Linked DNA regions of Pelodiscus sinensis. The protein of the gene in region 1 purifies or fractionates together with the protein of each later gene. This does not show direct contact. Links are inferred from orthologs where the notes say so. Each region holds a gene or a part of one and is shown in the gene's direction. Other genes may lie near its edges.

What was found.
Region 2: the proteins of PPP4R2 (region 1) and CCDC6 purify together in Homo sapiens (co-immunoprecipitation; 3 studies listed by BioGRID and IntAct, counting the BioPlex papers as one, with this or other methods). This does not show direct contact. The link is inferred for Pelodiscus sinensis from reciprocal best matches to the Homo sapiens genes PPP4R2 and CCDC6.
Region 3: the proteins of PPP4R2 (region 1) and TIPRL purify together in Homo sapiens (affinity purification with mass spectrometry; 5 studies listed by BioGRID and IntAct, counting the BioPlex papers as one, with this or other methods). This does not show direct contact. The link is inferred for Pelodiscus sinensis from reciprocal best matches to the Homo sapiens genes PPP4R2 and TIPRL.
Region 4: the proteins of PPP4R2 (region 1) and PPME1 purify together in Homo sapiens (affinity purification with mass spectrometry; 3 studies listed by BioGRID and IntAct, counting the BioPlex papers as one, with this or other methods). This does not show direct contact. The link is inferred for Pelodiscus sinensis from reciprocal best matches to the Homo sapiens genes PPP4R2 and PPME1.

The regions. Positions count from the first base shown.
Region 1 is NC_134721.1:11,131,034-11,138,112, forward strand, and holds the start of PPP4R2 (serine/threonine-protein phosphatase 4 regulatory subunit 2), read left to right. Parts: upstream 1-4,071; 5' UTR 4,072-4,212; coding exon 4,213-4,246; intron 4,247-4,572; exon of another isoform or gene 4,573-4,644; intron 4,645-4,806; coding exon 4,807-4,888; intron 4,889-7,079. UniProt on the Homo sapiens protein: Regulatory subunit of serine/threonine-protein phosphatase 4 (PP4). May regulate the activity of PPP4C at centrosomal microtubule organizing centers.
Region 2 is NC_134718.1:22,305,017-22,312,657, reverse strand, and holds the start of CCDC6 (coiled-coil domain-containing protein 6), read left to right. Parts: upstream 1-4,632; 5' UTR 4,633-4,830; coding exon 4,831-5,103; intron 5,104-7,641.
Region 3 is NC_134711.1:149,454,490-149,462,404, forward strand, and holds the start of TIPRL (TIP41-like protein), read left to right. Parts: upstream 1-4,898; 5' UTR 4,899-5,029; coding exon 5,030-5,130; intron 5,131-7,915. UniProt on the Homo sapiens protein: May be a allosteric regulator of serine/threonine-protein phosphatase 2A (PP2A). Isoform 1 inhibits catalytic activity of the PP2A(D) core complex in vitro. The PP2A(C):TIPRL complex does not show phosphatase activity.
Region 4 is NC_134711.1:322,164,273-322,172,113, forward strand, and holds the start of PPME1 (protein phosphatase methylesterase 1), read left to right. Parts: upstream 1-4,826; 5' UTR 4,827-5,005; coding exon 5,006-5,103; intron 5,104-7,841. Other genes in the region: C2CD3 (C2 domain-containing protein 3), read right to left, coding at 677-946, 4,534-4,603. UniProt on the Homo sapiens protein: Demethylates proteins that have been reversibly carboxymethylated. Demethylates PPP2CB (in vitro) and PPP2CA. Binding to PPP2CA displaces the manganese ion and inactivates the enzyme.

The DNA.
Region 1 (7,079 bases):
CAAAACATTTAGAATACATTTTATACAGTGTGTTTTAACAAAGTGTATTTTTATATTGCATCACAAAACAGTTGATTTATATAGCATGTTATAAATATGAAGTGGTAAGTAGCATTAATCTTACTAACATTAAATGGTACTCCAAGCTCCAAAAGGTTTACAAGGATCTCAGTTCTAAAGCCCATGGAGTTCTAAATACGGGTTGTGGTTCTCCACTTTATAGAAAAAAAAAACATGTGTGTGGACATGGTTAGACTCTAGGAACTGGATTATCCCTGATGCATGCCAAAACTCACACAGAGAGCTCCTGGGGAAGTGGTCCCCAGGCAGAGCACGCCATATTGTTTGGTCAAAATTACTGGTTTTGTCCTCATCCAGAAAATAGACTGTACCCCAACCAGGTTAATCTCTTAGAGCACATCAGCATTCTTGCAATGCAACTTTATTGGAATTGTTCTGCCAAGGACCCTGAACTGGAATATTCAGGAAAGCTCACTGGGATTGGAGGGTGGACAATGTACATCATTATCAGCCATGCTCTGGCCCTCCTACTGTTCCTTGCGGTCTGTCAAATCTCTAACTCATGCTATGCATACTCTGTATTCTCAGGAAAAGTTGGTAGAGGAGGACGAAGAATGGTTCACAGAGATTACTGATTCCCCCTTCCTCCTTTTTTTGTATGAGAAGAGGGAAATCTATGGGCACACGTCCCTGCATATTCAGATCCGGGGTAGAGTGTGGGAGATGATCCAGGCCTATTCAGGATTTTACCTAATAGTAAATGACAGCAGATGTGCCAGCTCACATATGCCTAAAATAACAGTTAGCTGCAATATTTGGCTACTTTATTTATGACTTCATTTTTATGGGCATTTCCATTTCCTTCTAGGAATCATGATCCCGAGTGCCTCAAAGTGTCCACAGTAGATACGTTTGTGTGTGTGCAGCTGGCTGGCTGGTTAAAATCTGCAGAGCTGGGCGCTCAGATTCCCATGAATCCCACGTCTCTCTGTTTCAGTTAACATCCCTGTTGATTCTGGGACCCAGTCCAGGGAAGTATGGGGAAGATTGTACAGATTTTACCACTGCTCTGGGTGTTTGTCCTTTGTGGGCTTTTGTGTAGGGAAATTGATGGACCATTACAAGAATATATATCGAAAAGACATTTCTAAAAGTGCTTTTAGAAGTCCTTCACACTTTTTCAGTATTTCTGTTTAGTGCATAGATCTGTTTTCTCCCTCGCCAGAGGCTGTCATTTTAATTAAACTTCTCAATAGAAGTCCCTTTTGATGATTTTCAAACTAATGCCATGGCACTGTAAATTACTACATATGTGCTTAATTTTAAGCATGTGAGTGGTCCCATTGCCTTCAATACAACATCAATGGGAACCACTCATGCTCAAAATTAAGCACACCACTGTTTGCCAAATTAGGGTCTCAGACTGAAAGGATCAGCTTTTCCATTACAAATAATAGAAAGCATTGAAAATCAAGGTTCTGTAATTTTTAGAAATATATTTGCATAGTTTTGTTGTGCAAAAGCGGTTTAACTATCATTTCCTATTTATCAATTCCCAAACATGATTTTTCTAAAATTGTCAGATCAAATATGAGTGACCACCTAAATATGTGAGTCAATGTGTGTGTGCTTATATATAGCATAATTCATTTCATTTGTGGAAAATCATGCATTTGTATAATTGTGTATGTTCCTTTTCGTGATTACTGCTCAAAGTGTACCCCTTAATTAATGGATATGGGACTCAAAGATATTATATCTCAAATAAGGAATATCCCTCCAAGTTTGGCTGGATGATCATCCTAGTCAATTCTATTAGATGTATACATAAGAAATGATTACTGACTTTTAATGCAGCTGGTCAGTTGCACCTATACCTGAAAGCAATAGAAAACAGTAATTCATACCATGGTGTACAATGGTATTATAGTACAAAGCATGCTTATTTTAGATGGCATCTTTCATATAAAAATTACTGCAAAAATACTTAAGGTAAATAATATAATAGTCAAATAGCAGAGACAGTGCAGCTGGTGTGTAGGTAGTGCGTAAGGGAGTATGGAGTCTCCTCAAATCTGAGTGTGGCAGAAGTGTGTGTGTGGAAGGTGATGGGAGACGAGAAACCCCTCCCCAGAGTACGGATGTTGTGTGGGGGGCTAAGTATCCCCTCAGTCAGAGTGTGGAATGTGGGAGATTGGGAAGCCTCTGTGGAAGGGCCAGAAGGGGTGGGGAAGCCCCTATTGGAAACGTGGGTGTAGGAGAGGGGTTGGGTAGCCCCCCAGTCAGTATGGAAGATGGGGGGAGCTAGGGGAGACCCCTGTGGAAGGGGCAGGAGGGATTGGGAAACCCATATGACAGGGGTGAGAGGATGGGGAAGCCCCCCCAGTCAGTGTGGAAAGGGGGGTGAGGAGGCCCCATGGGCAGATGCAGGGGGATGGGGTAGCCCTCCCCAGTCAGTGTGTGTGGGGGGGTTAGGAGGCCCCTGGGCCAGATGCAGGGGGATGGGGTAGCCCCCCCAGTCAGTGTGTGTGGGGGGGGGGTTAGGAAGCCCCTGGAGCAGATGCAGGGGGGATGGGGTAGCCCCCCCAGTCCGTGTGTGGGGGGGGGTTAGGTGGCCCCTGGGGCAGATGCAGAGGGAGGGGGTAGCCCCCCACAGAGTGTGTTTGGGGGGGGTTAGGAGGCTCCTGGGACAGATGCAGGGGGATGGGGTAGCCCCCCCCCGAGTCAGTGTGGAATGGGGGTGAGGTGGCCCCTGGGGCAGATGCAGGGGGAGGGGGTAGCCCCCCAGTCAGTGTGTGGGGGGGTTAGGAGGCCCCTGGGGCAGATGCAGGGGGATCGGATAGGCACCCCAGTCAGTGTGGAGAGGGGGTGAGGTGGCCCCTGGGGCAGAGGCAGGGGGGTGGGGTAGCCCCCCCCAGTCAGTGTGGGGGGGGCGAGGTGGCCCCTGGGGCAGAGGGAGGGGTGACCCCCCCAGTCAGTGTGGGGGGGGCGAGGTGGCCCCTGGGGCAGAGGGAGGGGTGACCCCCCAGTCAGTGTGGGGGGGGCGAGGTGGCCCCTGGGGCAGAGGGAGGGGTGACCCCCCCAGTCAGTGTGGGGGGGCGAGGTGGCCCCTGGGGCAGAGGGAGGGGTGACCCCCCCAGTCAGTGTGGGGGGGCGAGGTGGCCCCTGGGGCAGAGGGAGGGGTGACCCCCCCCAGTCAGTGTGGGGGGGGCGAGGTGGCCCCTGGGGGGCAGAGGGAGGGGTGACCCCCCAGTCAGTGTGGGGGGGGCGAGGTGGCCCCTGGGGCAGAGGGAGGGGTGACCCCCCAGTCAGTGTGGGGGGGCGAGGTGGCCCCTGGGGCAGAGGGAGGGGTGACCCCCCAGTCAGTGTGGGGGGAGCGAGGTGGCCCCTGGGGCAGAGGGAGGGGTGACCCCCCAGTCAGTGTGGGGGGGCGAGGTGGCCCCTGGGGCAGAGGGAGGGGTGACCCCCCCCAGTCAGTGTGGGGGGGGCGAGGTGGCCCCTGGGGCAGAGGGAGGGGTGACCCCCCCAGTCAGTGTGGGGGGGCGAGGTGGCCCCTGGGGCAGAGGGAGGGGTGACCCCCCCAGTCAGTGTGGGGGGGCGAGGTGGCCCCTGGGGCAGAGGGAGGGGTGACCCCCCAGTCAGTGTGGGGGGGCGAGGTGGCCCCTGGGGCAGAGGGAGGGGTGACCCCCCCCAGTCAGTGTGGGGGGGGCGAGGTGGCCCCTGGGGCAGAGGGAGGGGTGACCCCCCCAGTCAGTGTGGGGGGAGCGAGGTGGCCCCTGGGGCAGAGGGAGGAGTGACCCCCCCAGTCAGTGTGGGGGGGGCGAGGTGGCCCCTGGGGCAGAGGGAGGGGTGACCCCCCCAGTCAGTGTGGGGGGGGCGAGGTGGCCCCCACTCAGAACGCAGAAGGCGAGGGCGGGGCCCCCTCCCCGCGGTACGTGCGCAAGCGGTGCGCGTACCGGCCGCCCGCCCGCGCCGAGCCCATCCCCTCGCGCTGCCGCCTCACCCAGCCCCGCCCCCCGGCGCGCCACCGCTCCCCCCGGGAGGGGGCGGGCCGTCGGGGGCGCGCACGGTGGCGGCCCGGCGCCATGTTGGAGGCTTGCTAAGCCCGCGGTGTGTGTTCGTGCCGCTGCCGGTGCCTGTTTCCTGTGCGGGGCGGGGGGGCAGGAGGCGGGAGCGGCGCCGCGGCGGACCATGGATGTCGAGAGGCTGCAGGAGGCGCTGAAAGGTGGGGGCCGGGCCGCGCGGGGGGCGCTCGCGCCGCCGCGGGTGGGTCCTGGCGCTGAGGGAGGCCACGGCCCCTGGGGCAGGCGAGGAGGCGGCGCCCCAGGCCGGGCGGAGGAGGCGGTGAGGAGCAAAGTCCCCTCCCCCCCGTCGCTGAGGCGGCAGCGCTCCCTGGGACACGAGGGAGAGCGCGCGGGGGGGGGGGCGGTGTAGGTGGGCGGCTGGGGGGGGCAGTGTCTCTTCTCTGCCCTTGACCCCCCCTTGCCCCGCGGAGCCCAGCGCCCCCGTTGTCCCCCCTCCCCTTATCCCCCGCCTGCCTCCCTGGGCGCAGCCGGCTCTCTCGTGGCTCCAGCCGCTCCTGGGAAGTTGCGAGTCAACTTCGAGTGACTTTCCGCCGTTCAGGTGCAGGCGGTTCCCTCCTCAGACAGCGGCGGGAGTGGGGTACCGGGGGGGGGGGTCTCGCTTTCCCGCACACTGGGACTTGGCAAAGCGTCTTGTGGGACCAAGGCCACTGATGGTAACTGGGATTTTCTCATCCCCCTCCCCCGCTTCCCTTACCTGCAGATTTTGAGAAGCGAGGGAAGAAGGAATCGTGTCCAGTGCTGGATCAGTTTCTTGGTCATGTTGCCAAGACTGGGGAGACAATGTAAGTCTGATTCCTTCCCCACTCTTATCAGTTGAGGCTCATAAGAGCTTTTACCAATTTTAGGCCCAGAGCTTTAGATTTAATGCCCGAGTTTGGTTGACATGCAGCTTGATTTTGTGACCTAAATATTTTGCCCTTCATTCTAGTGGCAGTTCTTAGTGATTGAAGACCTCTCCAGTTTTGTTGGTTTCTTTCCTTTCATGCTTGTAGTTGACCCACATGAGTCTGATATGATTGAGAAGTTTCTCCTTGTGTGTTGTATAGACTTGGTTCAGGGTCATCTGTCGGGTTTTGTGGATCCTGTGAATGCCTGTTGCTTTCGCCGCATTTTATATAATACTCATATCTGGTTGCATAGCCTGAAAGAGGAGAAGTTTTTTTTAGTGTGTATTGTGAAGTCTTTCAAACGTGATATCCCATAGCATGATTCACAAAAGCAAGTGACTTGGTGATTTAGATGAATGTTTGCAGGCTTTGTGTACTATACTCACAGGCTGCCTTGCATTCAGTTTCTGTTTTTTAAGTCAAAGGTGAAAAACATAATTTAGAAACTGTCTGCCCAAAAGGGTATGGGAACTAACTTGTTACCTTGCATTTCATTAGGTCCTCCTTTCTTAGTCTACACAACTGTTCCCACTTCACTCTCCCTAGGCTTTTCTTTCATAGATCAGCATTAACTGGGGTTAGGGCCGCTTTTTTTTTTGGAAGGGACATTGTATTTATCAAAGAGCTGGAATATCTCTCCTTGTCAGAGATAATCTCTGGTGCTGCATTGTGTTACTTCCTCGGTGCCTCACCATTTGGCAGGAAGGAGAAAGGCTTCCCTGGGTGCCTTGCTGGTGAATTGCTCACTTTCTGGCTCCCAGGCTGCCTCCTTGTTTTTTGAGGCCTAGTACAGGCTTCAGAAAGGAATGTGTGTCTATACCAGTGTTTTATTAGGAACTACTGATTCACAGAGGCTTTGTTCTAGCTTATAGTGTGTCTAACTTGCAAGAGATCTGATTTTTAATATACTGTGCTATTACTCGTTGAATTTGTGGCCTTTAAAGGGAAAACTCAAGTCCCGAAATGCACTTTGCTCTTTGAATCAAAGGTTTCAGCTCAGCAGAAAAAGGCACAGCTGTAATACAGATATTTTTGCTTAATGGATTGTTAGATGGTCTGACTTGAAAAAAATGCTATTTTTGTAAAGTGTAAAATTACTCTTTAAATATGATAGCTTATATTTTGTCTGAAATTTTGTCAGGCTTTTGTTGACTAGTCTGTGTATATGGTATTTTGGAAGCTATAAGATATTTGTAAAAGTCACCTCACAGGAAATATGTAAGAAAACATATATGATAGGGAATTTAGACCCAGGTGCTTTTGCTTGCTTTCTTTTTAGGAAATATGTGGATTAATTTTGTATTCATTTATACAAAGGCCTTGATCCTGCAATGAGCTCTGTTTGAGATACAAATCATGGACCTGTACATTCTCAATATTTCTCTTAATTTTTTAATTACTTGGTATTGTAGTTGCTGTAGCTGCTTACTAGTTTCTCATTTGTTAGTAATAGTTCAACAAGTCTCTAGTGTTCTCTTTTGTACACAAACAAGGCAATATATGGAGTGACTTTGCCATTACATTTAATTTTGCTCCCATTAGACCGCAAGGTCTACATTATTTCTTCATCTGATATTTTGCAAAATTTATTTACCAAATTCATTTTGAAATATTCAAATAATTAGGACCCTCTATTTAGGGAGAGTCCACCATGTTAGTGATTCTGCGTGTTGGCAATGTTTCTCTTTTACAAGTACTGTGTAGAGTTGTACATATTTCTGCTGACATGTAACATAACGAACAAAAAAGGATTTTGTGTTAGGGAAGGAAACAAATGATATAATATAACAGGCTATTTTGCTGTGTTTCATTTCAGTTAATGTTATTTCTCTGGTTTTCAAGTAAAGGTATTGTGGCTTTCATAATGTTTTTTCCAAACTCTGTGTATCCTTGATTTAAAAAAAAAAAAAAGATAACTTCTGTGGCATTTGTACTTTCTGGTAGATTAAGTTATTAAATGTAATTAATGTGGTATTGAAAAATAAGATAAAATGTTTAAAAAAAGGTCTTTGAGGCTCTCATGGACATGCTATAAATTGCACATCTAGCATTGTAGGTGTTAATCATACAAATACTAACTTAAGTG
Region 2 (7,641 bases), on another chromosome or scaffold:
CAGTTTATTTTTAAATTATGCGATACATAAAATTAAAATCAGGTGCTTATAGTTATGAAATAAATGGTCTGGTTTTTATTCATGCTATTTAAATCTAAAATGAAGCATTTATAATTATACATTTTGTGGGGACAGAGTTCTGCAGCTGGGGACAGGGGAGAGGGAACAGGGTGCTGGGAGGGCAGAGAACAGGGCTCTGCAGCAGGGGACAGGGTGCCAGTGGGGACAGAGTTTGGAAAGTGGGGACGGGAATAGGGACAGAGTTCTGTAGCTGGGGACAGGAGAGTGGGGAAAGAGTTTGGAGAGTGGGGACAGGAGTGGGGACAGAGTTCTGTGGCTGTGGCCAGGGGAGTAGGGGCCGTGTTCTGTGGCTGGGGAGTGGGGTGCCAGTGGAGGCGGAGAGTCCCCTGCATCTCCCTCCTCCCAGGATTCTCCCCTCCCCTCAGGGAAACCAGCGCGTGCCTGCCCCGGGGCCGACCCCACCCGGCGCAGGGAAGCCCCAAACGCGCCTGCCCTGGGGCCGACCCCCCCACCCGCACAGGGAAAGCCTACGCGCACGCACCTGCCCCAGGACCAACCACTCTCCCCCGATGCAGGGAACCCGCGCATGCCTGCCAAGGGGGCCGACCGCCCCCCCAGCGCAGGGAAGCCCCGCATGCACTTGTCCCAGCGCCAACCCCTACCTGCACGCGCGCACCTGCCCAGGGGACCGACCCCCCCCACCCTCGCAGGGAAACCCCGTGCACGTGTGCGCGCCTACCCCGGGGCCAACCAGTGCAGGGAAGCCCCGCGTGTGCCTGCCCAGAGGGCCGACCCCCGTGGCGCAGGGAAACCCAGCATGCGCTTGTCCCAGCACCAACCCCCCCATGCAGGGAAGCCCCGTGTGCACGCCTGCCCCGGGGCCAACCCCCCCCCCATGTGTGCGCGTGCTGGGAAACCCCCTGCGTGCCTCCCGAGGGGCTGACTCACCCCTCCTTGAGGTAAGTAGTGGGGCTTCTCGGGGGTTGGAGGGAAATGGGGAAGGGGAACACAGGACGCCTCGCAAGGGACTGGTTGAGGCCTCGCGATCAACCAGTAGCTCGCTATCGACCTGTTGGTGACCATGGACTTAAAGGAATGACCGGTGGTAGATACAGAATTTGGTGTCCGCATTTTGTAATCCTCTTAAATTTAGTTGGCTAATTGGCATTTCAGTTCATTTATTACAGTTACCTCGAGTAACACAATAACCAACACAGTTTTGTTTTCAACTGAAAAATGTACGTTTTTATTTACAAGGGGGAGGGGGAGGAGACCTTCAATTGGGAGGGGGAGGAGCTACTCCTGGGAGGGGTGGCCCCTGCGAGTGCTTCTGCGGGGGCAGACCTGGACATGCAGAGCAGGCTGCATTGGGGCAGGCTGCATGGGGAGGTGGGCAGGAGGGGGCATTGCAGGGGCGGCAAAAGGAGGTATTGCAGGAGGGGGCATTGCAGGGACAGGAGGGGGCATGGGCAGTGCTAGGGGAGGGATGGCGGGGGCATAGGGTAAGGCCATGCCATAGTGAATGGCATGGGCTATGTGGGCAATGAGGGTGGTGATGGAGTCAGCCATCCATGTGCACTGGGCCTGGAAGGCGACTCAGGCCTCCTGGCGCCTACTGCAGGTCCCCCTCGACACACTGGCAAATCGATGCCTCGATGCGCTCGACGGCCTGCATGTGCCAGCGAAGGAGCTGGTCCCGGTGGCAGAGCCTGTGCCTGCGTGGTTGGGCAGCTGGGGATGCTGCTGCTGCCTGACTGGAGGGTCCCCGGCTTGTGCTTGGTCCCGCTGCAGGGAAGAGAAGAAAGGATGGGTCAGTCAGGTAGCCCAGACACTGTCCCCACACCTCATGCCCTCCACCCCTGAGCCCAGGTGACACCACAGTAGTGTGGCTTGGGCCCACTCAGTTCCCCGCCTACCCCCCGTGTTGTATGTTTGCATATAGGAGCGCCCCTGGAGTAGGATCCTCCTCCATGTATTGTAACCACTGGTCTGTGTCCTGGCCCCGTGGAGGGCGGGAGGGAGCTTGTGTTGCATTAACCTGTGGAACTCCCTGCCGGTAGAGGCTGTGAGGCTTTGGGCTAATCACTGGTATTTGACAGGGCGCGAGATGAATCCCCACACAGTGCCTGGGAGCACGTCTGGCAAAAGTGGTCTGGGCTCTCAGATCCCCATCACGTAGGATGTCTCCTGGACAGAACCAGGAGAGTGACTGGTGGGGGAAGGGTGTCCCATCCTTGCAGCAAAACTCAGGTGGCCCTAAGGGCAGCCCGAGCGCTTCCCCCGCTTCTCCCTCCCACTATCCCTCACACACGTAGCCCAGGGACATGTGTGGCCGCAGTGGGGACTTCCCTCGGGGAGCCAGCCAAGGCACCAGGAGCAGGCGAGGGGCTCAGTGGGGGCCACGCTCACAGGGCTGTGATGCTGCGGTTTTCCCAGGAGCAGCTGGCTGTGCCTCACAGCCAGGCATGGGACAGTGTGCCGTTCTGCGTGCTGCACCCTTGCAGAGGTGCAGGCTCTGGGCTGAGTCCCTGGGGCCCTAGCCGGTTCCAGCCGGCATCCACCCTTCCCCCGGTCCTGCCAAATGTGTGTGAGCAGCACGGTCTCAGGCGTGCCCTGCCGCGGCCACGTGCCTCTCCGTCACCAGGATGCATATGGTTGCACGTGCTGCTTGCTGCCTAATGCTATACAGCATGCAGCTCACGTGGCCTGAGTGACATGCTCTCCCCCTCCCCCCTCCGGGCGCCTGGCTCCCTCCCCTCCACATTCTACCCTTGTGAGTGCAAAGTGCAAGACTCACTGGTGGATCCTTCCCCGGCCTCGGAGGAAGCGCGGGAGACATCAGGGCTGCTGGAGGGGGCCTGCTGGGTGGCAATGCTGGCCTCATCCCCCGATGCACTGCTGTCTCCTTCCTCCACCTCGGTGGTCCTGGAGACGGGGGAGGGAGAGACGCACACTGCTGTCCACGGGCACATCTGGGGCTTGCAGGACTGGCTGGCCCAGGATGGCGTGCAGCTGGTCGTAATGGGGGCAGGTGTCTGCTCCTGCCCCCAGGCCCTCACTGGCCCGCACGTAGCCTAGGCGCTGCTCCTTGACTTTCGCCCAGACTTGTTCGAGGGTCCGGGCTGGATGGCCTTGCTGATCGAGCGCCTGGGCCATGTTGGTGAAGATGTCCGCGTTGCGGCGCCGCAAGTGGGTCTCGTGGAGGGCCTTCTCCTCCTGCCAGAGGTCGAGCAAGCTGTCCAGCTCCCCCAAGGACCACGATGGGGCTCGTTGTTTGCGGCCCCTGGGGCCTCCTGTGCTGGGGGTGCAGGTGGCTGAGCGCCCGGAGCTGCCATGCTGGCTGCGATGTGGCTGCTGGGCACGGCAGGGGCACTGTGGCAGACCTCAGGCAAGAGGTCTGAGGCATGCTCCTGCCATGTGCGCTCAGCAGCTTGAGTCTGCTTTAAGAGCTTGGGTTACCAAGAAATCCGGGGCTCCTACAGGGTCTCCCAGTGTCCAAACCGCTTTTTTCCGTTTAGCCTGCTTTTGCGCAAAAGTCTTAGCTAGCTGTCTACACTGGCCCTTTTACACAACAGTTTTTCGCACAAAGGACTTTTGCCCGAATGGGAGCATCAAAGCTTTTCCAGAAAAAGCACTGATTTCGGACAGTAGATCGTCAGTGCTTTTGCGGAAAATCAAGCGGCCAGTGTAGGCAGCTGGCAAGTTTTTGTGCAAAAGCAACTACTTTTGCTGAAAAAGTGGCCAGTCTAGACACAGCCCAGGGGTGTGTCTAAACTGGCAATTTTTTGCGCAAAAGCATTTGCTTTTGCCCCCAAACTTGCTAGCTGTCTACACTGGCTGCTTGAATTTGCGCAAGAGCACCGACGTTCTAATGTAAGAATTCAGTGCTTCTTGCACAAATACTTTGACGCTCCCTCTCAGGGATAAGCCCGCTTGTGCAAGAATACTTGCACAAGAGGGCCAGTGTAGACAGGCACCTTAATTTTTTGCGCAAGAAAGCCTGATGGCTAAAATGGCCAATGGGGCTTTCTTGCACAAAAGCGCGTCTATACTCAGCATGGATGCTTTTGCACAAAAGCACTTTTTGCGCAAAAGCATCCGTGCCAATCTAGACGCTCTTTTGCGGAAATACTTTTAAAGGAAAAACTTTTCCATTAAAAGTATTTCCGCAAAATCATGCCAGTCTAGACGCAGCCCAGGTGTTGGGGATGGGGAGCTATGACTCATGGCACTCTATAGGTGTGCGAAAAAATACAGGCAATGGAGATGGGGGGGACAAGGGCTGAAGAATGCAAATACGCTTTCCTCCAGTCTCTCTGGGAGTTTTAAAAACGGAGGTAATGTTTGTAGCGCGGCTCTGCCTGGGCGGCAGAAGACCGGCGGCGGTTTGTTGGTTCCAACAGTCTCCGAAAGTTCCTGTCCTAGCCACGTGGGGGCACGCAACAGGCAACCCCTATTAGCAGCCCCTTTCCGCCAGTGACTCGCGTGGGTCCCGCAAGGAGCGGGTAGGCGGGGACACGTGCGGATGACTGGTCTGGGGCCGGAGACACAGGGTTTCACTAGCGGGGGTGACTAAGGCAGGCTACGGGCGGGGTGCGGGGGCCCCGCTGCAGTAGCGCCAGGCCGCGGGCGGGGTCGCTGTGGGCTGGGCGCGCGGCAGGCAGCTCCCCGCTTTGCCAGCGAGCGCGGCTCAGAGCCTGCGCCCTGCGGCCCTGCCCAGGCAGCGCGTCTCGGCCGGCCCCGCCCCCGCCCCGCTTCGCCCTCGAGACAGGCGGCAGCTGCTGGGAGGCGGAGGCAGCGGCCGCGGCGATGGCGGACAGCGCCAGCGAGAGCGACACGGACGGCGCGGGCGGCAGCGGCGCGGCCCCGGCGGGCGTTGCGGCGGGCCCCGGCGCGCTGGGCCCCGGCGGCAAGGCGAGCGGCATCGTGATCTCGCCGTTCCGGCTGGAGGAGCTGACGAACCGGCTGGCCTCGCTGCAGCAGGAGAACAAGGTGCTGAAGATCGAGCTGGAGACCTACAAGCTGAAGTGCAAAGCGCTGCAGGAGGAGAACCGCGATCTGCGCAAGGCCAGCGTCACCATCGTGAGTGCCGGGCAGGGCCGCGCCCGCTCCCGCTAGCCCGGGAGGGAGGGAGGGAGGGAGGCGCCCGGCTCCCAGGCGCCGTTGGAGGCGGTGCTGGGCCGGGCGGCTTTCCCGCCTCGCTTTGAAGGGGGCCTGCCCGTGGGGGAGGGGAGGGTGCCGGGGCTTCGGGAGGCCCGTGGGCTGCCCCGTTGGGCGAGTGGCCCTGCCGCGGTGCGGGGTCGCCGGGACCCCCCGGCGTGCGGTGCCGTTCCCAGGAGGCGGCTGCTGGAGCGGGTCCCGAGTCGTGAGGGGAAAGCGAGGTGGAGGTGCTGGCTCGGGTAGTGTGTGTGTGGGGGGAGGGAGAGCGCCGTACCGCGGCCATTCCCACACATCTGCCCTAGGAAGGGCCGCCCTGGAGCCGGGCGGCGGGGGCACCATGCCAGCATCCCGCGCGCACCCCCCTTTGCGGGGGCACAGGCGCTTCCCTGACAGGCTCTCGTAGCTGTTTCCTGGCTGCTTGCTGCAGCCTTGCGAGAAGAGGGGGAAAGGGGCTCGCCGAGGAGTTCACATTTACAGCTCCTTGTCTAGCCGCTTGCACTTGCTGCAGTTTGATTGGGTCCTTAGCTCCCCGACCTGATGACATGTGTTAACGTTGTGTGTGCTGAGGAGGATCTCGGGAAGGTGCCACAACCCTCGAGCTTGTTGACACAGAGCTGGGTTTAAAAAACTGGATGTACTAGCATGGTTTGATGTGCTTGCAGCTCAAACAAGTTTCTTCCTGTCAAGCCTTTCAAGTAAAATGGAACTCTCGCCAGCTAAGGACCCAGTCAATCTTCTGAAAGTCTTTAATATATTCTTGCATAAACTGAACGTTTTTCTTTAACACAAATGCAGAAAAATTTAACTCTGGCTAAGTGTTTAAAATGGGTGTCATATGCATTAGTTTATTTAAAATATGTTTTTCTGTTTTAATACCCAGATGAAAAGGAGGATGAGCAATAATCATACTCCTTTAAGATTCTATGTTCTCTGCCTTTTGTTTTACAGTGTTTCTGAAGTATTATGAATATTGCATGGTTATGGCTGTGGTCCTGCCATTGGATCCTAAAATTTGTAACTTGAGAAAACAGGTTGATTTCCTCACCTTAGCTAATTAAATAGATTTGCTTGCTTCTGTACTAATAGATGGGTTCTAAACTGTGTAACTATTTGGATATTGATAATTAAAATGCAAATCTATTAAAATAAGTCAGGGTACTGGATTTGTATAGAATATAGAAATTCCATGAAGTTGCTAAAGCCCACCTGCAGTGGGACTTTGGCTTCCTTCCCTGAGCTTCAGTAAGTATAACTCTGGCCATGCTTAGAGGACCCTCTGTAACCTGTGCACAGCCCCCCAGGTGGCCCCAGACTCCTTGTTAGGTACCATTACCATGGTCTATTTGAGGAACGGTCACTAGTTTATGAACTCTTAAAAGAATAATTAGAACTCTTAACTGCATCATAAATTATGGGATTAAGTATTAATCCTGAGTAAAACAAATACTCAGAGGCTGTTCTAGTTTTTCATTGTTCACATTCTTGTAGATTGGGGTAGGCAAAATACAGATGGAGCCTGGGGCTGAGCAGCAGCCTCAGACAGGCTCCCTGCCTGCCTGTGCCATGTTCGTGGAGCAGATAGTGCGTGAAGTACCCTCTTCTTCTCCGATTTGCGGCACTCTGAGACGCAGATGGCCTCCGTGGCCAATTCCTTTGAGCAGTGGGTAGGGCAGGGAAGGCAGGTAGCCTGTCTGAAAGTCTCGTTGGGATGCCACGTAGGTAAGCAGCTCTCGGCCAGAGCCTACCTCTAGCCCTGTCCCCTCGTTCTCCCTGCCTCATGTAACCCAAACTCTCTGCATCTAAACCCATACTTCCTCCAAAACTCTGCACCCAAATCCCCTGTCCCAGGTCACAGCCCAAATCCCTGCACCCCTGCTCCAGATGTCAACCACTTCCAGATCCTGCACACCTCCTGCTCTCCTCCAGGTCAGAATCCTCTCCTGCACCCATACCCCCTCCAGGACTCTGCACCACAAACCCCTGCCCCAGGTCACAACCTCTCCATTATCCAAACTCCCTTCCAAACCTTACACTTCTTCCTGTCCCTACATTGAGCTCTGTTCTGCACCCAACTTTCATCCCAGCCCTGCACTTTCTCCATTGATGTCATAGAAGAGTGGAGCCCTTGACTACTTATCAAATTCTTGGAGTGCCCTCCCGCATCAAAAATTGCTGCCCTGGTTTATGTGTATAGTGGTTGAGTGATGGTAGTCAGAATTTCCCTGTCAAAACTAATATGCAAGCATATTGTTTATAAATAACCCTGCATATTTGTATTCTTTGAAATTTGGTCATGGTTCTACACACCCTTTCTTAGGAGAATAGACACATTGCTATGCATGATGATCCTTCTAAAGTGCAGATGCTTTAGCTATCATTTCTGGCCTTTCATCTGTGTCTGACCTGGCAAATGTATTACCAATAAAATGGATACCACTTTACTTCTTACTATTGGCAGTA
Region 3 (7,915 bases), on another chromosome or scaffold:
CATATGCTGCAGCCCCCTAATCATTTTGGTTGCCCTCCGCTGGACCCTCTCCAATGCGTCCACATCCTTTTTGTAGTGGGGGGCCCAGAACTGAACACAGTACTCCAGATGCTCACTCCTGTTCTGGCCATGAGTCACAGAAATAAATAATCTGTCAGACAATGGATTTTTACTCAGTGTGCAGCTTCATAGGTCATTTACATTCCCTCACTCAGGTCTTAAATTCTCAAAGATTATTTCCCTGTGGTTTCCCATTCCCCTACACTTGGGGTTCTGGGTGTTAGCTCAGTGGGGAGAGGGAGGAAAAGATTGGGGTGAACACCACAGAACTGAAGCCTCACACCTTGGCACTTTCTACAGGCCTGAAGTATGCCTCCTGCTGGTTTGAAAATGTTTACCAGAGCTCTGCTAGAGTGGGCTCTGATGAATTTGAGCCCTGCACTCATCCCATGCATTTCCTAGGAAACCTACTCAATTAACAGTTTACACTGTTTCAAAAAGTTCTTTAATGTTCCTAACAGCAATAAACACAGTCCAGAAACCCTCTGAGGAGAATATGGGGTTGATCCCCAAGGAATAAATAGTTAAACCAGCTGACTGTATACAATGTTATTGTGCTATAAAATGTCAAATAAGGTCTTTTATGAAAGCTTGTAGTGTAATGTCCCTATGTTTTATGTAAGTCACATCTTTCCAGGAGTTACATACAATCCCACAGTAACACATACAGGCAGTCCCCGGGTTACGTACAAGATAGGGACTGTAGGTTTGTTCTTAAGTTGAATTTGTATGTAAGTCAGAACTGGTACATATTGTACCCCAGGTGTCCCCGATTCAGCGCTGCTGAAACTGACCAGCGGCTGACTACAGGAAGCCCGAGGCAGAGCTGCTTTGCCCCGGGCTTCCTCGAATCAGCTGCTGGTCAGTTTCAGCAGCAGCTGACTTGGGGACACCTGGGGTAGAGCAGCTGGGGTGCTGCCAGGTTGGTCCCCGCAGCGCCGAGGTGCGGTGCTGCGGGGACCAACCCGGCAGCGCCCCAGCTGCTCTGTCCCAGGCGTCCAGATTCAGCCACTGTTGAAACTGATCAGCAGCGGCTGAATCGGACACGCCTGGGGCAGAGCAGCTGGGGTGCTGCTGGGTTGGTCCAGTAGCGCCGCACCTCGGCGCTGTGGGACCAACCTGGCAGCCCCCCAGCTGCTCTACCCCAGGCTTCCTGATTTAGCCGCTGCAGAAACTGACCAGCGGCGAGAAAAGCCTGGTCTGCTGGGGAGTGGGGCACACTAGCTGCGTCCCCCCCCCCCCCAGCCGACCAGGGAGACGCGGGCGGCGGGACCGCTGAGACGCGCCACGGTCCCGCCGCCTGCGTCCTCCGCGGCTTTGCTCCGCGTCTCCCTGGTCTGCTGAGGGAGCCCCCCCAGCAGACTAGGGAGACGCAGAGCGGCTTTTCTCGCCGCGGGGTTCCCTCACCCCATTCGTAAGTAGGGATCCGACATAAGTCGGATCCACGTAACCCGGGGACTGCCTGTAATTGCATTTGTAATACAATGGATCTCAGAAGTATTGCATTTAGCTCAGTACAGTTTAATACATTGCAGAAGAGGACACTCCCCACTATTATAGCAACACTTCTCTAGTTTGGTGCATTCCCACCCTCAATAGATGGAAACAGAGGTAGAAAGAGGGTCAAATTGCAACTTCAGCTACATCAATTGTGCAGCTGAAGTCGAAATAGCTTAACTCAGCGTTTGGTGCTGTCTACACAGCAGGAAGTTGAAAGAAGAACACTCTCCCTTCAGCTTCCCTTACCCCATGTGAAATGAGGGTTACAGGAGTCGGAGTAAGAAGTCCTCCAGCTTGACATTATTTTGAAATACAGGCTTGTAGTGTAGACATGCTCCTTGTTATTTTGGAATAACATCAGTTATTCCAAAATAATGTTGTTGTGTAGACGTACCCATAGTGAAATTCATGTTTAGTGTATCTGCCATCCCCATTTCTGTGACTCAGGAATCGTTTGTTGCAAATTGGTAAAGGGCATAGAAGATACATAGGAGTTTACGGGGATCCCATAGATGACTGGTGCTTCCCCATAATGGGGGGACACTAGCTAAGGGGGAAGACATGCGACCATCCCATGTGTCTCTCCTTCAGTGACTCCCCTCCCACTTTGTGTTACCCAGCCCCATGCCACATGAGGGTGAGGATTCTATGTCCTTCTTTCTCCTGCACCTCTCTCCCACCGCATTTGCTACTTTCTCTGCCCTTGGCAGTTGGGCAGAAATCAGGACACAGCTGTTTCTGCCTAAAAGGGACTGAATGGAAGGTGAGAGAGAGAGAGAGAGAGAGAGAGAGTGTGTGTGTGTGTGGTTGTGCCCACAAAAGCTCATGATACCATCTACATGTTTTGTTAGTCTCTAAGGCTCATCTAAACTACATCCTCTTCCGAAAGAGGAATGTAAATGAGGCTGATCAAACATGCAAATGAAGTGCAGATTTACCAATCTTGTGCTTCATTTGCATAATTGCGGGCGAGCGCTTTTTCGAAAAAGGGTTTTTCGAAAAAGAAACTTCAGTCTAGAAGGAATTCTTTAAAAAAAAACCAACCCTTTTTTGAAAGAGCCTGTACTCCTGAAAAAATGAGGTGTATGGGCTTTTTTGAAAAAGGGCTTTTTTATTGAAAGAACCCCATCTCAACTGCGCTTTGTTTTTTGAAAAACCCTTTTTCGAAAAAGCATTCTCCCACTATTATGCAAATGAAGCACAAGATTTGTAAATCTGCACTTCATTTACATTTTCAGTCGGGCTCATTTACATTTCTCTTTCAGAAGAGGAATTTAGTTTAGACGAGCCCTAAGGTGCAGCAGGACCATTCGTTGTTTTTTAACATTTTTATGTATGTGAGAGTGAGCCTCCAAATCAGACTCTCTTATGCAGAAGCAGCTGACAAATGTGTTGTTTAGTTGGGATAATAATGCTTCCTTTTCTGGCTGATCATATGTTTCACAGTGTAAATCGAATTGCATTACTTAACCTGATGCTAATGAAGATGATGACTTCACGTAAGATCAACAAGAAATGTTTTATCCCAAAACAGCATGTTTCTATGAGTAAAGACAATAAATATTGGGAGTATAATGGGAATATTATGATATACCTGAATCCTTCACCAAGGAGACAAAACTGTCAGGATGTTTAGCCTTACAAAAGGAGGGTGACAACCAATGTTCCCTCTAATCTTTTCTATGTGTTGATTATTTCCATCCATGTGCAGAATACATTTTTATGTGTATCAAGGCATTTGCGAATAGGGTTGCCAGATGGTTTAACAAAAAATACCGTACCACCCAAAAAAACCTGGGAAGAAATTCCGTTAAGAAAAAAAAAACAGCAAAAGTTGTTGAGCAAAAAGAAAAAAAAAAGGGATTGAGTAGGGCCGAAATACAGTCGCGGCCCTTTAGTTCCCAGCCTGCTCCATCCTCCCCTTGCCCCAGCCAGCCCAAGCTGTGCTGCGTGTCCCAACCACCCTTCCACAGACACCTGAGCTGGGAAAAACAGAAAATGTTCTGAATTTTTTTACTGGATGGAAGGCGCAAATACCGGTGGCTGTCCAATTCAGTACCGGACACCTGGCAACCCTATGTGTGAAGGTGTACCACTAGCAGAAGCAAAATCCTAGATGTGGGAAATCTGCTAATCAGCTGGAGAGCATTTGAAGCTCTCTTTGAGTGGCTGCACAGGCGCACAGCTTACAGAGAATATTGGTGCCAGCCAACATGGCTGAAAAACACTGAAGACTTCATTAAACAATACAGTATCCTGATTGGGGGGGGGGAAGGGGGAGAGTAGGGTGTCCAATTCCATCCTGAAGCCCTTCCCCCTCCTGCCATCCCCTTGCCATCTCCTCTCCCTGTCACTCTGTTCCCTGAGGACTGGGCCTCAGGGATTACTTGGGGAGCCTCGCACAGGGTGGTCCCCCAGCAGTAGGGTCCCCCTGCACTCCCTTTTTGAAGGCAGACAATTGTAGAACAATTGTAGAACAATCAGAAGTGTTAAACTGAATGTAAAGAAATGAAACCAAGATAGGAACATAGTAGGGGTATCAATAACAGTAAACACTGTGATTGGGATCATTACAGTGTTTCCGAGCATTAAAATTCTGAAAATATAGAATACAGACATAACAATATTTAGTATATTTCAGAAATACAAATTGCAGTTTTTTTTCAATGATTGATGGCAGTGGTAAGCTTCAAATTTGTTTAAAATTGTAAATACAGGGCATCTCTGCTATTAGTTCGCCCCATATATATCCGTTTCATACTTAAATCGTGTGCAACACAAACCAAACAACCACAAACAAAAACCCCAACCAATTTGTGCAAATGGAAGTCAGCTGCAGGAGAAAAAAAATCACCACTTTGGGTGTAAGTCCAAGTTTTTTGGAACAGAACTTGGACTTGTAGCGAGGACAGCCGGTACATCAATACAATGTGTTCAACTCCTGTCTACAGCTATCAGGGGGTAGGGAAACTAAAGTTTAGCGTTTCATTTTAATTGTGGAAAACACTGGTTTTTATGAGCAGCTAATGCTGGGGTTCTGCAGTCCCGGGCCAGTAGGCTGTGTGGGGTGCCTGTTGTCACACCCAGCCGCGCCTTTCCAACGCTTTGACCGGCCCCTTCTCAACTCCCTCGTGCTCTGCTAAGGAAACGCCTCCCCGTGCCGGACCCACAGGCAGAGGCGCTGTGGTGGAAAGGGAGGGGCGGCGGCTCTGCGAACGCAGGGACTGCGGGAAGGGCGGAGCGCGCCTGTGTTCCCCGCCCCTCCAGGCCCCGCCCCCTCGAATCCCCGCTGCGCCTGCGCGCGTTTCTCGTGACGCTGGATGACTCTACCCCCAGGCCAGTCGGTGACCCCGGAAGCGGAAGTGCAGGACGGCGGGGAGTGCGGATTCCGGTTCCGGCGGCGCTGGTGCCGCTGCTGGGGGGAGCCCAGCAACCGCCTCTTCTCCCACCTCCTCCTCCCGGCCCCGCCATGCTCCCCGTGTTCCAGAGCAGCCGCCGCGAGTTCACCTTCGGGCCTTGGAAACTCAGCGCCGCCCAGACCCACATCATGAAATCTGCCCAGGCCGAGAGGTGGGGGCGGGCTGCGGGCCGGCGGGGGTTGGGCTGCCTGCGCCCGCTCTACGGGCTGCGGCCGGGCGGGCGCCCGTGGACGCTCTGAGTTGTCAGCCTGAGGTTTGAGCCCGGGTCTGACTCGGGTCAGCAGGCCCCCGGGATTTGGGCGCTAACGTCTGGGCTCCTGCCCTGTCATTCCGCAGTGTGGATACAGCTTAAACCACAACCCATGTGCGGTCTGTGGAGAGCAGCTTGGATGCAATAGCACAGGTGTCGGACCTCGGGCCAGCGATTGTAAATCTAGGTGTTTGACGCCATGTAACGGTTGCTCAGACATGAGCTTGGAAACATTAAGGCTAAACTAGAGACCTTATATAATGGCACAGCTGTACCGCTTTGTCTCCTGTGTAGCTAGCTATGATGATAGAAGGGCTTAATTAAACTGACCCCCCGCCCCCAAGCACCGGGAGCTAGGGATGTAAAATCCTGTTCAATAAGTTAACCAGTTAAACATTAAGCTGCTGTTACCTGGTATGCATCACCTGTTAAGGGTGATGCTTACTGGGTAGTTGGTTAACCAGTTACTGCATCCTGCTGGGGATGAGAAATGGTGTCACCAGTAGGGATGCAAAAGTATAACCATTTAAATGGCTAGCCCATAAGCCTGGTGTTAGCAGTTAATATTAACAGTTATATGCAGGCTCCCACCTTGCTCCTGGGGAACCGGCTGCCACCCTGCACTACTGGCTCTAGCAGTTATACAACTACCCACTTTTTAACATCCCTAGTTGGCAGGAGAGGCTCTACCCAATGACATAGCACTTGCTGTATCAGTGCTTTTGTGGATTAAATGTATGTTGGTGGGGGTATGTGTGTTCCACACTCCTGACCAATAAAACTTGTACTGATAAAAGTGTTAGTGTAGACATAGTCTGAGTCCATAACCATTGGGCCTTCAGACCTGGGTTTACTACATAGTGTAGGCAAAAACCTTGGCAAAACCCAGCTATCTTCTCAAGAGCCACAGCAAAGAGCACTACTAATAAAAGGGAACCCCAATAAATGTAAAGTGCATATTGCCACCATTTGGGGTCAAGAATTTCTTTTGCATCCTTTGTCTGATGTTGTGGGTCATCTTTTTGTTTGAGAGGTAGGGATGTGGTGTTTTTCTTCTTCTTCCCAAGGACATTTATTGTGGACTCTTCAGCTCATGTTTTCTTACCAAATGGACCACATGCCTTTTCAGATGTGGCAACAATTTCTGTTTCTATAAAGCAGTAGGAGAAACTGCTTCCTTCAGACTTGACTATTGTTTGTTTGAAACCTGAATGTTAAACTAAATATAAATAGTTCAGATACTAACAGTAATATTTGAGTTTGTTTACAAGCAACTTTTTTTTGATAGTTTGTTATCTCTGGATCTCATATCCTATAGTAAATTAAATCTGTCATACTTCAGCTATTTTAAGTCTCACCAATATAGGACTTTCAGATTGTTGCATTAATTTTTGTGAGATTCATTTGCTTATCATAAACTTATTTTGGAAGGTACTCTTTGTATAAGTCTGCCTTTTATTCAAATGTTTGTAAAGTCCTGAATAGACTTTTAAATTAAAAATGTCATTTTATTGAATTGCATTCCATAGCAAAGTGTATGATAAACATGAGGAGATGAAATCATAAGGTTATGACATTATTTACCAAACTATCTGGGAGTCATAGTCATACAGCCAGATCGCATGGTGTTTGTTGTGAGCTGCACAAACACAGTGCAATTCTACTCTTAGGAGCATTTTTTGCACTCACTTTTTTCTCATTCTATCTGTGCCTGATGTGTCTATTTACAATTACAGACCGGTAAATTTACCAGGTAAATTAGTTGAAACTATAGCAAAGAATAAAATCATCAGACACATAGATGCACATAATTTGTTGAGGGAAAGTCAACATGGTTTCTAAAAAGGGAAATCATTCTTTACTAATCTACAAGAGTTATTTGAGGGGGGCCAACAAATATGTGGACAAGGGGGATACAGTAGATATAGTGTACTTAGATTTCTGGAAAGCCTTTGACAAGATCCCTCACCAAAGGCTCTTAAGTAAAGTAAGTTGTCATGGGACAAGAGGAAATGTCCTCTCATGGAGTGAAAACTGGTTAAAAGACAGGAAACAAAGGGTAGGAATAAATAGTCAGTTTTCAGAATGGGGAGGGGTAACTAGTGATATCCCCCAAAGGTCCGTACTGGGACCAATGCTATTTAACCTATTTATAAATGATCTGGAAAAAGGGGTAAACAGTGAGGTGGCAAAATTTGTAGGTGATGCTAAACTGCTCAAGATAGTTAAGAACAAAGCAGATTAACAAAGCAGACTGTAAAGAGCTCTCACCAAACTAAGTCAGTGGGCAACAAAATGGCAAATGTAATTTAATGCTGGTAAATGTAAAGTAATGCACATTGGAAAAAATAATCCAAACTATACATACAAAATTATGAGGACTGATTTAGATATAACAACTCAGGATAGAGATCTCGGAGTCATTTGTGGATAGTTCTCTGAAAACATCCGCTCAATGTGCAGCAGCAGTCAAAAATGCAAACAATGTTAGGAATAATTAAAAAGGGATAGAGACTAAGAGAATATCTTATTGCTTCCATAAAAAACTATGGTACACCCATATCTTGAAGACTGTACAGCTGCAGTTACCTCATAAAAATATATTGGCATTGGAAAAGGTTCAAAAAAGGGCAATACAAATGATTAGGGGTTGGAACAGGTCCCACATGAAGAGAGATTAAAAAGA
Region 4 (7,841 bases), on another chromosome or scaffold:
GGATAGTCGACTAGTCCTTAACATCTTTAGATGATACTCGACCTACTTCGTCAAACACTGAGCTCTATAGATGAAAAACACTAAGTAAGACTATCAAAATGTTATACTGTGAAGAAATTACTATAAATACTAAATTATTAAACACTTACAAGTACTAATATCAAACATAAGCACTTAAACTATTTAAGACCCCAATCTTGCAATAAGGTTCATGCAAGTGTGAGGATCATGCAAGTGTAATGCTCTCTTCATACCGAGCTTGCTGCAAGATTGTGGCCTTTTTTTAAAGGTCCTTGACAGGATCTATTTGTCATCCAGCCATTGCAGCTACAGAAACCCAGAATACATACTATGACACCTATTTGTCTAGAAGACACAGGTCTCTCACTATGTCCTTTGAATCCTTTTTCCATGGTCAGTCTATAAGGATATTTAAGAACCATCAGTACTGTGCGATAGTTTTTAATTTTTATGGTTCTCCTGATGATTCAATGCCCTTTGAAATATGAAACATGAAACACACTACATAAAACCATATTCTAGATTCACTAACAATAAAATTAAGGGGTTATTTTTACACATGAACGCACTTTGCAATTACTGATGAAGTCTACTGAACAGATGTCATGATAGAAATTTCAACTGCAAAATTAATACAGAGCATACACTACTGTACCTGTCAGGTAAGATGCAAACTGTTTTGGTCCACAACGGATTGCATAGTGGGTGGTGGTTTTCACTGCTTTTTGCTCAGTCTGTGAAGTATTCCTGGGAATAAAAAGCGTGCCATCTGATGTTTCCCCCCACCACCTCACTCGGATGAGAACAGTAGCAGGCGGCTTAGAGACCATCCACAAGATTTTACTGACTGTTAACTTCAGAAAGCAGCGCAACTGGCCTTCAACAAGAGGTGGTAAACTTGTAGAAGGGGAGATATCACTGATTCCTGCAGAGATACAAAAAAGAAACAGTATTACTTCTCAAAAACATAAATGCAGTTAACATATTCGAGATACAGATCACTTTATAGAGTTAAAAAAATACTTGGTGTTTCTAATATTCTATGCCACACTTAGGGTTACCCTATAGATGCATATAACATTACAGCCTACAACATGGCTACTCAACGCACGGCCCATAATATCAGCGGCCTGCAGCCTGTCTGTTTGCTGCCTGCGTTGTGGTTTGGGTTTACATGGGGCTCAACACGTGGCTTGCGGGTGGGATCTTTTGAACCTGGCCTCCACTGGGAACACGCTCCACAACGGCGAGTCAATATAATGATCTTCTGTTGATATACATTTTAGTAGTTAAATTCCTGGACTGTCATTGCTCATTAAGGGCATGTCTACACTGCAACACTATTTGGAAATAACTAGCACTATTCTGAAATAACTTAGTCCATGTCTACACAGCAGGCAGTTATTTCGAAATAGTGTCAAAATACTGTCAAGCTAGAGGGTTTCTTACTCCGACTCCTGGAGTGAGGGAAGTTGGAGGAAGAGCACTGTATTTCAAAATAAGTGCTGTGTAGATGCTCCCTATTTCAAAATAAGATTCACAATTGATGTAGCATAATTTGCGTAGCTTATTCGAGTTAAGCCGTGCAGTATAGATGCACCCTAAAAGTGCTGTCATATGGGTGGTAATTGGGTAAATATTGCATTTTATTAATATCAACAGATCTGACTTAAATGGGGCCTAAGTGTTGTGTAATCTTGCCTTAATCTTTGTATTCATGCCCATCAGTGTGAAAGAAGCTATTTGCATGTATATACAACCACACTTCAGTTGCAGCCCTCAACATGTACTGTAAGTATCATTATGGGCCCCAGGGCTTCCAAAATTGAGTAGCTCTGGCCTAACAACATATGTACATGGCAAGTTTTTGGCATTACTGTAACACACCTCATGTTCACATCAGGGATGTAAGGGACTAAACAACTTGCTTCCCCCCTCCCCTTGCTGCCTCTGTGTCAAGGTCTGCAATGAGGGGGAAGCAGAAGCCGGTGTGAGGGGAGGAGGAGGGGAGGCAGAGCCACAGGGGTTCCAAAGCCAGGAGTGCAGAGCGACAGCAGAGGTAGCGAGCCCCACCACGCCTTTATCAGCTAATCAAGTAGCTGATTATCCGCAATTTAACATCCGTAGTTCACATACAAAATATATTGCAACATATATATACTGCTTAGTGAGGAGGGAGAAGCAGTAACAGGAAACTTGGAAATGGCAGAGATGCTCAATGACTTCTTTGTTTCGGTCTTCACCGAGAAGTCTGGAAGTGTGCCTAACATAGTGAATACAAGCAGAGAGGGTAAGTTTAGAAGATAGGATACACAAAGAACAAGTTAAAAATCACTTAGGAAAGTTAGATGTCAGCAAGTCACCAGGTCCTGATGAAATGCATCCCAGGATACTCAAGGAGCTGATAGAGGAGGTATCTGAGCCTTTAGCTATGATTTTTGAAAAATCATGGCAGACAGGGGAGATTCCAGAAGACTGGAAAAGGGCAAATATTGTGCCCATCTATAAAAAGGGGAATAAGAACAACCCAGGAAACTACAGACCAGTCAGTTTAACTCTGTCCCAGGGAAGATAATGGAGCAGGTAATTAAAGAAATCATATACAAACACTTGGAAGGTAATAAAGTGATAGGGAATAGCCAGCATGGGTTTGTGAAGAACAAGTCATGCCAAACTAATCTGATAGCTTTCTTTGATAGGATAACGAGCCTTGTGGATAAGGGAGAAGCGGTGGATGTCATATACCTAGACTTTAGTAAGGCATTTGATACGGTCTCGCATGATATTCTTATTGATAAACTTGGCAAATATAACTTAGATAGGGCCACGATAAGGTGGGTGCATAATTGGCTGGATAACCGTAGTCAGAGAGTTGTTGTTAACAGTTCTAAATCCCGCTGGAAAAGGATAACAAGTGGAGTTCCTCAAGGGTCTGTTTTGGGACCCGTACTGTTCAATATCTTCATCAATGATGTAGATATTCAGATAGAGAGTACGCTTATTAAGTTTGCAGATGATACCAAACTGGGTGGGGTTGCAACTTCTTTGGATGATAGGGACATAATTCAAAATGTCCTTAGCAAGTTAGAGAAATGGTCAGAGGTAAACAGGATGAGGTTTAATAAAGAGAAATGCAAAGTGCTCCACTTAGGAAGGAACAATCAGTTCCATACATACAAGACGGGAAGTGACTGTCTAGGAAGGAGCATGGCGGAAAGGGATCTAGGGGTCATAGTGGACCACAAGTTGAATATGAGTCAACAGTGTGATGCTGTTGCAAAAAAAGCAAATATTATTCTAGGTTGTATCAACAGGTGTGTTGTAAGCAAAACTTGTGAAGTCATTCTGCCGCTCTACTCTGCACTAATTAGGCTTCAGCTGGAGTACTGCGTCCAGTTCTGGGCGCCACATTTCAAGAAAGATGTGGAGAAATTGGAAAGGGTACAGAGAAGAGCGACAAGAATGATTAAAGGTTTAGAGAACATGACCTATGAAGCCAGGCTTCATGAACTGGGCTTGTTTAGTTTGGAAAAAAGAAGATTAAGGGGGGACATGATAGCAGTTTTCAAATATCTAAAAGGGTGTCACAAGGAGGAAGGAGAAAATTTGTTCCTCTTGGTTTCTGAGGACAGGACAAGGAGTAATGAGCTTAAAGTGCAGCAAGGGAGGTTTAGATTGGACATTAGGAAAAAATTCCTAACTGTCAGGGTGATCAAATATTGGAATAAATTGCCAAGGGAGGTGGTGGAATCTCCCTCTCTGGAGATATTTAAGAACAGGTTAGATAGACATCTGTCAGGGATGGTGTAGACGGAGCTTGGTCCTGCCTTGAGGGCGGGGGGCTGGACTCGATGACCTCTCGAGGTCCCTTCCAGTCCTATTATTCTATGAATACACATTCACACCACCGCTGAGACTGTGACTGCAAAACCAACCCTAAGCCACAATGAAAATCGGAAAGTGGTGATGTTACAACTTGTCTGCCCAGCACCACTCTGCAACACGCCCCCCTACCCTTCAGTGAAAGGCCTCCTAGGGCGATTGATGGACAAACTGCAGATCTCTTCTACATCTCCACGCCTATAGCCTCTCCCGACTCCAATGTGCCCTCGGGGTACGTGTTGCGCCAGCAGTGTTACTCCCTATTGCCGATATGGTTGTAAGTACCCACCAAGACCCATATGGCAACTCCCAGCCCTCTGCGGCACCGCAAGGGCACACCCCACATTATAATCCACACAGGCCGCCATGTACCTGCCACCCCCCACAGAGCGCCAAGGTGCTGGCCCCCAGAATCGCGACCCTCCACAGCGCGCAGGGTGCTGCCCCCCCTTCAGATGCCCATCAGAAGATCTGCCCTCTCCTACGGGGCCCGGAGCACCCACCACTACGTGACCGGCGCCACCCACTGCTCGGGGGCCCGCTGCGCCCCGGGGCACCGCCTCCCCGGCTACCGCCCCCGGCCCCGGGGGCCACCCCCCGGCAGCTGCTGCCCCCGCGCAGGGTTCTGACCTCTCCTCTTGCGGGCGGCCCCGCCGCCTCCCACCCTGGGAGCGGGGCCCTTGGGCCTCTTCTGCTTCATCCCCACCCCCCAGCCGCTCCCCCGCGCCAGGCGCGGCCCGCAGCTACCGCCGCTGCCCGGCAACCGCCGCCGCCGCCGCCTCAGCCCGCCGCGGGGCCCGCTGGGACAGGGCGGGAGAGTCTCCGAGCCGCAAGCAGAGCCGCGCAAGCGCACAGCCCAGCGGTAAGAACAACAATCCCCAGGGGGCGCTGCGGCCCCGCTTCCGGCTAAAGAAGATCGCGCGAGGACGGGCACTTCCGGCAGGGGAGGCGCTCCCCGGCATGAGCCCTACCCGGGGGCGGACTCCGTTTCCCGTGGTGCAGTGGGGCGTGGCAGCAGGCACTTCCGGCGCCGGTGGGTGGGGGTAGCCGCTGCTGGCTCGGCGGGGTGATACCTGCCCTTGTGTCTCGGCGTCTTCCCATCATGTCGACCCTGGAGAAACATCTGCACCTGGGCCGCCTGCCCCCACGGCCCGCTGTGCCCGGCGGGGGCGGCCAGTCGGGATCCAAGATGCGCATGGGGTAGGTGGGGGAGCGGGCAGGCGGCGCTGGCCCCCCCGGCGGGGAGGGTCCCTGTCCGGGGCTGGCAGAGCCGGCTGGAGACGGGGGCGGGCTGAGTCTAGGTCACTGATCCCGGGGCGGGAGGGGCGGGGGTTGGGGGGAGACGGGCATTTTACCACTGGGAAGTTGGAGACCAGCAGAGGAGGCGGGGGCGCCTGTTGCGGGGGGATGGGCAGAGGGGGCGGGGGTTGCTGGGGGGATGGACAGAGGAGGCGGGGGAGCCTGTTGGGCGGGGGTTGCTGGGGGGATGAGCAGAGGAGGCGGGGGAGCCTGTTGGGCGGGGGTTGCTGGGGGGATGGGCAGAGGAGGCGGGGGAGCCTGTTGGGCGGGGGTTGCTGGGGGGATGGGCAGAGGAGGCGGGGGAGCCTGTTGGGCGGGGGTTGCTGGGGGGATGGGCAGAGGAGGCGGGGGAGCCTGTTGGGCGAGGGTTGCTGAGGGGATGGGCAGAGGAGGCGGGGGCGCCTGTTGCGAGGGTTGCTGGGGGGATGGGCAGAGGAGGCGGGGGCGCCTGTTGGGCGGGGGTTGTTGGGGGGATGGGAAGAGGAGGCAGGGGAGCCTGTTGCGGTGGGCGGAGGGGGTGGGCAGAGGAGGCGAGGGGTGCCTCTTGTGGTGGGGTGGGCAGAGGAGCTTTACATTTTGGAACCTTATGTCCTCGTGTTGCAAGTCTTTTTTAATTTGCTGGTTGGGGCCTTTTTTAACAGGGCGACAGGCACACAGACTTTAATTTTGTACTTTGAGGGAGACTGGCCAAGGAGGTGAGGGTCTCTGTTGTGGGGTGAGGAGAGAGTTGTTGCAGGTGGGAGGATGCTGGTTGTGCAGCGGTAATGGGGATTGGCAGAAGGAGGCGAAGATATCCCTTGTAGGGTGGATAGGGATTGACAGGACAGGCAAGGGTGCCAGTTGTGTGCAAGGGGACATTTGGGACATTTACATCAGGTATGGGAGAGGAATTTAACATATTAACTTGAGATGTGTTTCAGCAGATTGAACAGTTTCACTAGAGGGTAACTTGACACTAATAATTATAATAGTTTTTGTTGGAAATTCAGTCTTGAATAAGGATATTCACAAATGTCTATGAGATGTTTATGGACCTGGCTTATCAGGCCATCTGCCTGTTGACATGAAGAAAATTAGATGAACCAGTACTACTGTGTGAAGCTGGGTGGTAGTTGAACTCTGCCAGGCAAGTAAGTCCTTGCTGAGCAATCTGCCACCCGGGATAGCACAATGCAGAGCAAACAGGTATCAGCTTTATAAACAAATTTAAATGTATTAGTAGGGGACTGTGCCCCCAGGCACCAAGGAGGGCTGGGCTGCTGCCATGCCAGCCCAGGTCCCTTCGCCCTTCTCCCCTTCCTTCCCCCACCGGCCTGGGTCACTTCTCCCTCCCCCAACTCTAACCCTCCCTCTCCTGGCCGCATGGTGTGCTAGGCCCAGCTGTAGTCCCAGCAGCTGGGGAGGTGCAGGATTGGCTGCCTGCCCTGCGTGGGGCATAGTGAAGCATAGGTAGTGCCGTGTGCACACGAAGCTCCGGGGCACTGCAGCCTCTTATGGTGGGGCAAGCTGCCACAGGTGGGCTGCTGTTCCGACCTCTCCCCTGTGTGGTCCTGCCTGTGCTGCTCACTGTCCCACCCCTGCCTGAAGAGCCCAGGGCTGCGTAGGTACCCGCCGGGAGCAGAAAGGAGGAGCAGACAGGTTTGTGTGGTGGCTCGGGGGGTGCTCTGACAGCTGCGGTAAGTGCAGCTGCTGGGGAGGGGGTAAGTCTCTGTGGGGCATCTGGAGTTCAGGCAGTCAGGCACCTTACTCGGGCTCCCCAAGAGCCTGGGGGCAGGGAGACCCTCGAGCCTGCTTCTGGCACTCAAGCCTGACTGGGAGCCCCTCTCCTAATGCTTGTCCCTGGCTGCTGTCTCTCTTCTCTCTCCACCCGCGACCCCCCCCCCCCCCGGACCTGGGCTGTCATGGCTGCCATGTGGGGTCTGCTGGCTACTGTGCCATGTTTCTTGGCATTGAAAGCCCTGTGGGGTGAGGGTGGAGAAAGGGGAGTAGGGGCTTGGTTTAAAATAGCAATTCCAAGTGGCATGGGGAAGCAGTGAGGTCGGGCTCAAGCTGGGATATGGGGGAGAGAGGGAGGAGGCAGGCTGGGCACAGAGTGACATGATGATGTCAGTCTGTCGTCCTGCAGGAAAAGCTTTTTAATATAGAGACAGAGATGAGAGCTAAGCCCTAGTCAACACTTAAAATTTAGAGCAGCCTTGCTCCATGACTCATGGAGATGAAAAATTTATTCCCAAGTGCTATGGTTCAGCTAGATGCAGTTAGCTCAACAGAATTCTTCTGTCAGCTTAGCTCGATTACCTATGTGAATTGAAAAACCTTTCATTGACACTGGAAGTGTCTACCCTATGGAGCTGCAGCTCTGCTGCTGTAGTGTAGATGTGCCCTGAGAGAGAAAGAGTGGCTAATGTTTTTTGTGAGGCTCTTCCAGATGGAGGAGAGATGAAAGAAAGGAAATGGTTAGGAAAGACTCTTGGCAGGAGCATAGTAATAGAGATGGTAAAAGGGAGATGATAGGCTGGAATTAAGGGCACTTTTAAATGTGAGAGGAAAAATCTTGAGCTTTTATATGGAAGAAAAGGAGGTGTCCAAGTTAAGGACATGCTTATAACATTCTGAGAGGAATGTCATCTTGACAGTAG